Linked DNA regions of Mus musculus. The protein of the gene in region 1 binds, or shares a complex with, the protein of each later gene. Links are inferred from orthologs where the notes say so. Each region holds a gene or a part of one and is shown on either strand. Other genes may lie near its edges.

Region 1 (3,648 bases):
GATGGAGCCTAGTACCTGTCCCATCACTGAGCTGCAGTCTCCTGCCTCCCCTGCCTTCCTCTCTTGCCGCCCCTGCCTCCTCAGCACTGCTGTTTCCTGTCCTTCAGAGTACGGTGCTGTTGGGGTTTCTGTTTCTGGGAGTCAGTCTCTAGGTTTCCGTTGATTGCAGTTCAGGTTTCTGCAGTTGGCCAGTTCAGTGCACCCATCACTCACTGCACACTACTTCAGATGCCCTCCCAGCCAATCTCCAGAGTATGCAACACTGTTGTCGTTGCTTCTGACTGGGGCTCCTGAGCCTGTTCACCATCCAGAGCATCTGTGGATCTTCCCCTGCCCCTAAGTCCTTCATAGTCACCATTTGACCTCTTGTCACAGTGTCTTGGACTTTTTTCCTTGGATACTACATATAAATGAGGGGACACTGTATGCTCCTTTCGCACTTGGATCATTTGCTTTACTGGGAGGCTCTCCTGCCTCATCCACTTGCCACCAATGACAGGGTTCTCTTGTCAAGGCCAAGTGTGGCTCCACTGTGATGACGTGGACACGAGGTATGTTAACATGATACATGTGTGTCTTATTCTCATCATGCTCTCTAGACAGACATGTGGCTTGTGTCTATGTACAGGTTCATGTCACTAAGAACACAGTGGCTGCAGGCAGGTAGGGAGACAGGAATGTAGCATGAGGTAATGGCGCCATCTGTTTGGTTTTGAAAGGAGCTGAAATACGACGTTGGTGGGGGAGAGCGCTTTGACTCTCTGACAGACCTGGTGGAGCATTACAAGAAGAACCCCATGGTGGAGACGCTGGGCACAGTCCTGCAGCTCAAGCAGGTCAGGATCCATGAGGACTGGCTAACAGGGGAAAGGGCTCAAGGGTCATTCCACAGCCACGTGACCCTGTTGCTTTGGGCCTGTGATGGCACATTTACCATGGCAGGAGCACACTCAGCACACAGGGATTACTACACATCTGAGAAACAGACAAGAAGGGGCGCTGATCTGCTGATCTGCTTCAGTGACACCCCCCCCCCCTCCCAATTTGGGATGATGTGCCTCCTGCCTTTGCTTCTGTGAAGTCTTTTTCTTTCTGCATTGATACTGTTTAAAACATGCTTTCTCCTTTTCCACCACTGCTGAACACAACAGCCCCTCAACACAACTCGTATCAATGCTGCTGAAATTGAAAGCCGGGTTCGAGAGTTAAGCAAGCTGGCTGAGACCACAGATAAAGTCAAGCAGGGCTTTTGGGAAGAGTTTGAGGTAAGTCACTGACAACTTGTTTTTCTGTGTGCTATTAGATGATGTTTAAACAGGTGAGAGGGCTGCACTGAGGCCTGGCTTCCTTTGCTGTGTGTGTGGCCGGTTGCTGAGAGACTTCTTTGAAGCAGAGGGGCATTGTGTTCCTGGGAAGGGTTGGCAGCTTGTCTCAGACAGATGTGCCAGCGGCTCCATTTACTTTTTGGTTCAGACCACTGGCAGGACCCCAGGAAAGCAGAAGGATAGAATTTCTCTGGCATCTGAGGGGCTTCAGACAAAAGGCAGCTTCAGTGCCATGTGTGAGGCCAGGAGAAGGGGCCTGGCTGTGAGTTCACAGCATAGCAGGGAAGTGAAGGGGCTGACCTCTGTCTTGAGCCCTGCTCGTGTGTGGGCCTGACTGTGGCCCTGTGCGCTCATATGCTGCCGACCCATGTGTCCTCTGGTTTGTCTGTCTTCTCTCCTTGCTCCTTTGACCAGAGCTTTACAGACAGATCTTCTGTCCTTGTTCCCTCCACAGTCACTCACCTTATGTCACTCACCTTATGTCACTCATGCCTGCACATAGCACAAACCTACAAATGTCTGTGCACTGTCTGCGTTTATATTTTGTTTTGTTTTTTCCAGACAGGACTTCTCTATGTAGCCCTGGCTGGCCTGGAACTTGCTCAGTAGACCAGGTTGGCCTCCAGCTTAGAGATCTGCCTGCTTCTGCCATCCCATGCCCATTTTAGAGAATATTTTTAATTTATTCTTTGATAGTTTGGAATGCAGCTAACACGCACCCTCCTCCATTTTCCCCTCCCTTTCCCTCCTTTCTGTTTCACAGGACTGGTTAGTCTATGCTTTGTGTAGGACTTGAGGATTCAGCAGCTGTTTGTGCCACCATGTGCCAGACAGCTTTCAGAGAGAGGTGCTAGTTCCATTCCACAGAGGAGTGTGAGGTCAGAGAGGTCGAGTAGATTGTCCACCCTCCTTAGCACAGATGTTGATAATCTCAGCCCTGGAGATGGGCCCATCCTAGAACATTCTTGGTGCTTGCTCTGCAGTGATGCATAGGGACTAGAACTTGGGTCTGGTCTCATATGAGCCATTGGGGTGGACTCTTTGAACACCATTCCGAAGTTTCCTGTTGAGAGAGACAGGGATAAAGGTGTCAGTGAAGGTCTGATGAGAGCAGAATGAGCCATGTGGCCATCTTTAAATTATTTATTTAGTGATTGGTCCTGCGGATCCAGTGCAGGACCTTGTGCAGGCAGAGCCTGTGCTGTCCCACTTAGCAGCACTTCATATTATCTTCCTCTTTTTCTCAAGATTGAATATTTCTATAAAGATGAGCCTTTTGCCACAAGTGTATAGCCAGTAGTTCATACTTGGTTGTCAATAAAATACTGTTCTCCAGTGTATTAATTACTATAAAGTAAAGGATATTTTAATATAGTCTTCAACACGAGGGTGAAGAGAGAAAGAGGAGCTGGGGAGATGCTGAGCCATCTTTGCAGCCCCCAGCTCTGAGTCTTCTGAGTGTAGCGCAGAGGAGATGATAGACTGCAGCTTCAGGTAGACATGTTCAGGTTTGCCTTGAACATAGTCTGTACCATTTCAGCCAGGAGTTGGCCCTGCTGTGGGAAACCAAAGCCCGCCAGACCTTACTCTCAAGAGAGGAAGAAGCTGGGGTCTTGCCATCCTCCCTGTCTATCTGTGTTCCTTTCTCCATCTACCTCCCTGTCCAGGATCTGCCTAGCTGCTAGTCCCTCATCTCTACCTCCCAACTGCTGGGATTCCAGTATGCACCGCCATCTCCCCGGTTCACCCTTTGCTCCGTGGCCATGGAAAACAAATTGTAGATGGCTTCCTTCCCTTCATAACACATGAGTTCAGCCTGTCTTTTATACACCAATAATAGCATAAAAGGAAAAAGTGAGTGGCTTTGTGTGCGGTGAACCAGTCAGGCTCCCATCTGTATTGTTGGGGTTGTCAGAGCATTGAGGGGTGGGTCCTGCAGATGAGATCTCAGATTGTCCCCAGCTCTCCAGGGAAGTCAGCCTTAAGAAACTGCCCGTTGAAACTGGAGTTGGGTCCATGAGGCTAAGGAAGAAAGGCTACTGCAGGTTGGGTTGTCGGAAGTTTACTCCTATTATAGTTTCAATCCCTGAAGCTAAAGTTTGAGCCTCACCTGCAGAACACTGTTATGAGCACGTCAGAACTGCTTCCTAGAGAATGATGAGTGCAGCATCCCGTGTTCCACGGTGTGCTCTGATTGGGGCTGGGGAGGTGGGGTGGTGGTGGTGGATCTCACCTTTCGAAGTGCACTCTGATGAGCTTTCAAAGGAGCCTGAATTCTACTACTTGAGTTGCTGCAGGGTGCTGTTATTAAGAGGAGGCTGGA
Region 2 (3,648 bases), on another chromosome or scaffold:
GCTGCTGTTTTCAGACTGGTACACATTTCGGATTCTGCTCTACATAGAGCAGGTGAACGTGACTGTTAGTGCAATTTGCTGATTACACTTAAGTTCAATGCACTGAGAGCCATCTAACAGATGAAAATAACACTTTTGAAATACGGTCATTGCCCCTGATATAGCTGCCTCTTGTGAGGCTATGCCAGGGCCCAGCAAACACAGAAGTGGATGCTCACAGTCAGCTATTGGATGGAACACAGGGCCCCTAATGGAGGAGCTAGAGAGAGTACCCAGTGAGCTGAAGGGGTCTGCAACCCTATAGGTGGAACAACAATGTGAACTAGCCAGTACCCCCCAGAGCTCGTGTCTCTAGCTGCATATGTATCAGAGGATGGCTTAGTCGGCCATCATTGGAAAGAGAGGCCCATTGGTCTTGTGAACTTTATGTGCCTCAGTACAGGGGAACGCCGGGGCCAGGGGGTGGGAGTGGGTGGGTGGGGGAGTGTGGGGGAGGGTGTGGGGGACTTTTGGGATAGCGTTGGAGGTGTAGATGAAGAAAATAACCTAATTTTAAAAAATTAAAAAAAAATCTTCCAAGCTGGGGCTTGCACAATACTAATTCCAGCTTTCAGCAGACATGTCTCAGTGAGTTTGTGGCCATTTTGGTGAATATAGCAAGTTCCAGGACAATTCGTACATAGATTCGGTCTCTCTACTGTTCCCCAAATAAAATCCCAAGAAAATTCTAAGTCTAATATCTTTACTGGTGAATTCTGTCAAACATTTAAGTATGAATATAATATTAGGGGTTGTTTTTGATTAATTTATACTTTTGATTGGGTGTTTTCTTCATTTGCATTCAAATGCTATCCCAGGAGTCCCCCAGACTCTCCTCCCCCGCCCCCACTCCCCTGCCCACCCACTCCCACTTCTTGGCCCTGGTGTTCCCCTGTACTGAGGCATATAGGGTTTGCAGGACCAAGGGGCCTCTCTTCCCAATGATGGCCGACTGGGCCATCTTCTGATACATATGTAGCTAGAGACACGAGCTCCGGGGGTACTGGTTGGTTCATGTTGTTGTTCCACCTACAGGGTTGCAGACCCCTTTGGCTCCTTGGGAGCTTTCTCTAGCTCCTCCAATATTAGTTTTAAACAATTACTTGAGAAAGTGGAGGGAGCTGCCTCCTTTATTTATAATGAAGTATGTTTTGCCTTGATAGAAATATAAAAGGCCTATAAGAGAAGTAGAACCCTCATGAATAAAGATACAAGAATTCTTTTTTTAAAAAAAGAAAAAAAAAAGAAATACGGTCATTGCAAGCACAGACAACAGTCCATGCGCAATGTACTTCTGTATTTAGGCTGATTACACAACACCGAGGAAAATCCCAGATCTCACAACAAGCAGCTGCAAAGGGCAATAACTTCATGATTATTACGATGTTGACAGCCCAGTGGGTAACCAGGCCCTCAGATCATCGCAGTTGGCAGAATGACTTCCAACACTGATGTAAACAAAGCCAGTTCCTGGTTAGTACATGGATGGGCTCTGTTACTTTCTCACGGTTTTCAAAATGTATTGTGGAAATATGAAAAAGGAGGTGGGAGGGATGGTCAGCTGTTAGGAGCACTTGTTCATGCAGACAACCTTGGTTCAATACCGAGCACCTACCCACTGGCTCACAACCATCTGTCACTCCAGTTTCAGAGGATCTGATGACCTCTTCTGGCCTTCTCAAGTACCAGACACACATACATATGCACGCACACACACACACACACACACACACACACACACACACACACAGGAACACTGACATACAGGCAAGACTTCATCATGAAGGCAGGCAGGCAGGCAGACAGGCAGGCAGGCAAGGAAGGAAGGAAGGAAGAGAGGAAGGAAGAGAGAGAATAAGAAAGAAAGAAAGAAAGAAAGAAAGAAAGAAAGAAAGAAAGAAAGAAAGAAAGGAAGGAAGGAAGGAAGAAAGAAAGGAAGGAAGAGAGAGAGAGGAAGGAAGAGAGAGAATAAGAAAGAAAGAAAGAAAGAAAGAAAGAAAGAAAGAAAGAAAGAAAGAAAGAAAGGAGACAGGAAGGAGACAGGAAGGAAGGAAAAAAGGAGAGAAGGAAGAATGAGAAAGAGAGAAAGAGAGAGAGAAAGAGAGAAAGAAAGAGAGAAAAAAGAAGGAAGGAAGGAAGGGAGGGAGGAAGGAAGGAAGGAAGGAAGGAAGGAAGGAAGGAAGGAAGGAAGGAAGGAAGGAAGGAAGAGTCATAAAAGACTTGAATTCTAAAGCTGCAGGAACTAGCGGCCTGAAGAATCTCTTCATCATGAAGGAGTTGTGATTCTGAGATCCTGAAACTAAGTCCATCTAGGACAGTGCAATAAGAACGCTGAGCGGCAGGTGTGTGGACATTCTGCTGGAGTGTCCTGTGTTGCTGGTGGACTGAGGGAGAACAGGAAAGAGAGGAGCCCCAGAATCCTCCAGGTTGTGGGTTCGGTACCTCCTTTGGTGCAGGCCCCCAGCAGGTTGACCACGTTCAGGTGGGGTCCAAGATGACTCATAATCTTCAGCTCGGACATTAAGGCTTGCTTCTCGCTACTTCTGGCTGTCGCTGGAGGGGGGAGAGGGACTCAGCCTGGGTGGGCCACTGAGGTGGTATAGAGGCCCTGCCAGGGCCTACTCTGCTTCCTCTGCCCCATCCTGTCACACCACCAGTGTCCTAGGGTGGACTGTATTAGAGAGGGAAGAAGGTGGGAGGCGGGGAGAGAAGGAGGAAGAAGCACCCTTCGGTCCCACAACCTCAGGGCCAGGCTCCTTCAGAAGAAACAAAAAGCCCAGGGAAGGGAGGGACCGAGTGAGGCCTCGGGTGTGAAGAAGGGGCGGGTGGACTCACATTTCAGCATCTTGACAGCCACTTTCATGGTGGCCTGCGAATGGCTCAGACCGTGAGCTGTGGCCTCCACCACCTGTCCGAAAGCCCCAGAGCCAAGAGTGCGTCCTAGGATGCATAGAGACCCTCAGCTCCTGGAAGCTAAAGCTTCAAGCTTCATCCCATTTCCCATTTAGGTTGGGGAATATTCCCTTAGATCACCCTCCACATCCCTCCAACCGCCCTACTGTGCTCCCCTTGGGAAGTTTCCCATCCTCTGGGTCTCCTCTAGATCCTGCATGCTATCTGCCTCCCCTGTAGTCCCTGAAAGACCTCCTGTCTCTTAGGGACACGCACAACTCCTTTGCACCTGCCTCAGACTCCCTGGCCTACATCCAAAGGACTTCCTCTTTGACCTGAAGGGGTCCCATATCAGTCTTGGGATCCCTGAGTTTTGGTGCTATGGGGTCACCTTATCTTCACCATATAGAAAGGATAGTGAGATCCAGAGGATGCAAGATATCAGCTCTATGCCTTAGCTAGTAGCAACCATGATGGGAGCAAATCTGAGTGTGCCCACTGCTGCTTAACACCTCTTAGGACTGACCCAGAACAAGCTGGTCCCGTGGCAGCTCCCAGGTGGAGTCGTAAGGCAACTGCACAGGGTCCACGTAGATGTACTCATGACCGTCAGAGCTCACAGACTCAATGACCTTCCATCGGATCTCATAGCGTGGCTTCTGCAGGACAAGACCAATAACAGATGAGACTGTCAGAGGGCATCTTTGGCCTTGAGCC
Region 3 (3,648 bases), on another chromosome or scaffold:
AAAGAGACTTCAGTTATACACAACCTGAGAAGAATTCACTACCAAAAGACCTTCAGATTACAGGGACTTCAACAGGACACTGTTGAAAATCTGAGTCTAAGAGAGAATGATAAGCCAAAAACAATGTAAGAAAATAGGACTTAAATAACAAAGTAAGTCCAGTGATGCACGGGCTGGAAGGAGGGCTGGGGGTGGGGGAGGCTGTACACTGCTCTTTCGGAGGAACTGAACCCGTTGTCACTCTAGCTCCTGGGAGCTAATGCCCTCTTCCAGTCTCTGAGGGACACTGCACCCATGTGCATATACCCACATATATGTTAAATATTTAAAAAACCCACCAAAACCAAAGAATTATAAAGAAACTGTGTAATTGGTAGGTTTAATAGAAATTAAAATTTAAGACAAAACAGCATATGACTTGAGCCATGAGCCATGTTCTCCTTTTCTTCCTTTTTACAGATAAATTCTGTCTTCCCTGTGCTGGGATTAAAGATGTGGCTACCCCACTCATCCAAGCCACATTTTCTTCATTCTAAAGACAGCAAAAGCACTGACCATGACGAGTAGAAACTGCACAACTGACCGACCTCTACAAAGGGAGAAACAAATCTATCAGACTTCATGATTCTGTTGCTTGTGACTTAGGAAACAACAGTCACTAAATTTAAATAATCAGGCCCCCAACTTTCCCCAAAGAACATGGTCCCTCAAAGTGTGCTTGACCTATCTAGAGAACACGGGCTCACTTACCTTCCGTGGTGGCGTGGACTTCCCAGAATCTAGGTCTAAATCCAGGTATTCGACTTGTTTGTCTCCTTTGGGTTTATTCATCGGGCTGCTTCCCCCATCAAGGCTGTTGCTGGCAAAGAGATTCTGAAAACAGAACAGCGAACAGTGGGCAGACACTCAGGAGATGCCCTCTTCTCCCACCCTCTCTTGTTCCCCCTGGGGGATGGGGAGGGTCACTACCTTGTTCAAAAATGGTCTTGAACTCCTGGGCTCTGAAGTTAAATTTAGTTAAACTAATACTCAGCCTGAGTGCTGTAGCCACTGGTAACTGTCCCTTACTCAAGTAAATAACTTTACTCATGTTTGCACAGGTAAGTAACCCTTCGCAGAAACAAACTGCGAGGCTCTGAAAGAAAATGGTCCCCCCATTGGCACATTGAGAGTGGCGCCATTAGGAGGTGAGGCCTTGTTGGAATGGGTGTGTCACTTGAGGTCTCTTTCAGGTCTCAGAAGCTCAAGTCTGCCTCCGGCTCAGACATTCACTTCTGTTGCCTGCCCTCTCAGAAGCAGAATGCTCAGCTCCTTCTCAGGCACCAGGCCTTCCTGGATGCTGCCATGCTTCCCACCAAGGTGATAATGGATTGAACCTCTGAACTATAAACCAGCCCCAATGGAATGTTTTCCTTTATATGAGTTGCCGTGGTCATGGTGTCTCTTCAGAGCAATAGAAACCCTAACCAAGATGCACACACACACACACACACACACACACACACACACACACACACACTCAGAATTATGTAAAGAGTAATAATAAAAAAAAGTCTTAGACATCAAGTCACAGACAGCTGCAAAAGCTCTCATTCTTAAAACCATGCAGGTCTGGGTGTGAAAGCGCACTTGTAATTCCGATATCCGGAAGCCGATGATGAAGGAGAATTACAAGTTCAAGACTGTCCTAGGCTGGTGCTGGAGCCACTGTCGCTGAGCCCAGGCCACGCTGCTGCTTGCCCATCACCCCCCATCGTGCTCTAGCGGTCTCAAAAGATTCAAAGTCCAAGATGGCAACCCTCAAAGACCAGCTGACTGTGGATCTTAAGGAAGAACAGGTCCCCCAGAACAAGATTAGAGTTGTTGGGGTTGGTGCTGTTGGCATGGCTTGTGCCATCCGTATCTTAATGAAGGACTTGGCGGATGTCATGGAAGACAAGCTAAAGGGAGAGATGATGGATCTCCAGCGTGGCAACCTCTTCCTTAAAACACCAAAAACGGTCTCCAGCAAAGACAACTGTGTGACTGCAAACTCCAAGCTGGTCATCACAGCAGGGGCCGTCAGCAAGAAGGAGAGAGCTGACTTAATCTGGTCCAGCGAAACGTGAACATCTTCAAGTTCATCCTTCCCAACATTGTCAAGTACAGTCCACACTGCACGCTGCTGATTGTCTCAAATCCTTTGGATATTTTGACCTAAGTGGCTCGGAAAATCAGTGGCTGTCTCAAAAGTCGAGTTATTGGAAGTGGTTGCCATCTGGGTTCAGTTCGGTTCCGTTACCTGATGGGAGAAAGGCTGGGGGTTCACCCTCTGAGCTGTCACAGCTGGGTCCTGGGAGAACATGGCAACTCCAGTGTCCCTGTGTGGAGTGGTGTGAACGTTGCTGGCGTCTCCCTGAAGTCTCTGAACCCAGAACTGGGCACTGATACAGACTGTTTTAAGGAGCAGTGGAAGGAGGCTCAAAAGCAGGTGGTGGACAGTGCATATACGACGATCAAGCTGAGAGGTTACACATCCTGGACCATTGGCCTCTCTGTGGCAGACTTGGCCAAGAGCATAACGAAGAACCTTAGGCGGGTGCATCCCATTTCCACCATGATTAAAGGTCTCTATGGAATCAATGATGACGTTTTCCTCAGTGTCCCAAGTATCTTGGGACAAAATGGAATCTCAGATGTTGTGAAGGTGACATTGACTCCTGAGGAAGAGACCCGCCTGAAGAAGAGTGCAGACACCCTCTGGGGAATCGAGAAGGAGCTGCAGTTCTAAAGTCTTCCCAGTGTCCTCGCACTTCACTGTCCAGGCTGCAGCAGGGATTCTATGGAGACCACACCCTTCTCATCTGAGCTGTGGTTAGTACAATGATGTTGAGGTGGTGTGGGGAAACATCTCAGTTCCCACAGCTCTGCCCTGCTGCCAAGTGGTACTTGTGTAGTGGTAACCTGGTTAGTGTGACAGTCCCACTGTCTCCGAGACACACTGCCAACTGTGCAGGCTTTGATTACCCTGCGAGCCTTCTGCATTGCTGCCCTGTGCACCCTCACCAAGCATGCCTAGGCCAACGAGTTCCCAGTTAGTCATAACCTGGCTCCAGTGTGTACGTCCATTATGTATAACTTTGCATAAATATTCTACAGGATATTTTATGTATTATATGTGTCTGTAGTGTGCACTGCAATATTATGTGAAATGTAAGATCTGCATATGGGTGATGGAACCAACCACTTAAATGTCATGCCAATGAAAACACCAAATAAACCTTGAACAGTGAAAAAGGACTGTCCTAGGTTAACAACTGCAACTTCATATCTCAAAACAAAGCAAAACAAAAGAAAACCATATATGTATGTACCCAGTTACATTATTATAGTGAAGGATCCTCATATTTCTTGCTTTCAAAGGGAGGGGAGGGGAAAGAATATGACATATATATATATATATATATATATATATATATATATATATATATATATATATGTATGTATGTATTTCTTTGGTTTTTTCGAGACAGGGTTTCTCTGTGTAGCCCTGGCTGTCCTGGAACTCACTCTGTAGACCAGGCTGGCCTCGAACTCAGAAATCCACCTGCCTCTGCCTCCCAAGTTTTGGGTTCAAACATGTGTGCCACCACTGCCCGGCCAAAACAT

What was found.
Region 2: the proteins of Ptpn11 (region 1) and Pdgfrb are in contact, whole or in part, in a crystal structure (PDB 1AYA), measured with the Mus musculus proteins. Residues at the interface, in NP_001103462.1 of Mus musculus: Gly13, Val14, Glu17, Arg32, Pro33, Ser34, Lys35, Ser36, Thr42, Thr52, His53, Ile54, Lys55, Leu65, Gly68, Gln87, Leu88, Lys89, Glu90, Lys91, Gly93, Ile96; in NP_032835.2 of Mus musculus: Ser1005, Val1006, Leu1007, Tyr1008, Thr1009, Ala1010, Val1011, Gln1012, Pro1013.
Region 3: the proteins of Ptpn11 (region 1) and Gab1 are in contact, whole or in part, in a crystal structure (PDB 4QSY), measured with the Homo sapiens proteins. The link is inferred for Mus musculus from reciprocal best matches to the Homo sapiens genes PTPN11 and GAB1. Residues at the interface, in NP_002825.3 of Homo sapiens: Gly13, Val14, Glu17, Arg32, Pro33, Ser34, Lys35, Ser36, Thr42, Arg47, Thr52, His53, Ile54, Lys55, Leu65, Gly67, Gly68, Tyr81, Gln87, Leu88, Lys89, Glu90, Lys91, Ile96; in NP_002030.2 of Homo sapiens: Lys623, Val625, Glu626, Tyr627, Leu628, Asp629, Leu630, Asp631, Leu632, Asp633.

The regions. Positions count from the first base shown.
Region 1 is NC_000071.6:121,160,326-121,163,973, reverse strand, and holds part of Ptpn11 (tyrosine-protein phosphatase non-receptor type 11), read left to right. Parts: intron 1-719; coding exon 720-836; intron 837-1,151; coding exon 1,152-1,265; intron 1,266-3,648. UniProt on the Homo sapiens protein: Acts downstream of various receptor and cytoplasmic protein tyrosine kinases to participate in the signal transduction from the cell surface to the nucleus. Positively regulates MAPK signal transduction pathway. Dephosphorylates GAB1, ARHGAP35 and EGFR.
Region 2 is NC_000084.6:61,072,572-61,076,219, reverse strand, and holds part of Pdgfrb (platelet-derived growth factor receptor beta isoform 2 precursor), read right to left. Parts: exon of another isoform or gene 3,597-3,648; intron 3,591-3,596; coding exon 3,458-3,590; intron 2,980-3,457; coding exon 2,875-2,979; intron 2,593-2,874; coding exon 2,482-2,592; intron 1-2,481. UniProt on the Homo sapiens protein: Tyrosine-protein kinase that acts as a cell-surface receptor for homodimeric PDGFB and PDGFD and for heterodimers formed by PDGFA and PDGFB, and plays an essential role in the regulation of embryonic development, cell proliferation, survival, differentiation, chemotaxis and migration.
Region 3 is NC_000074.6:80,768,901-80,772,548, forward strand, and holds part of Gab1 (GRB2-associated-binding protein 1), read right to left. Parts: intron 3,277-3,648; exon of another isoform or gene 1,696-3,276; intron 874-1,695; coding exon 751-873; intron 1-750. UniProt on the Homo sapiens protein: Adapter protein that plays a role in intracellular signaling cascades triggered by activated receptor-type kinases. Plays a role in FGFR1 signaling. Probably involved in signaling by the epidermal growth factor receptor (EGFR) and the insulin receptor (INSR).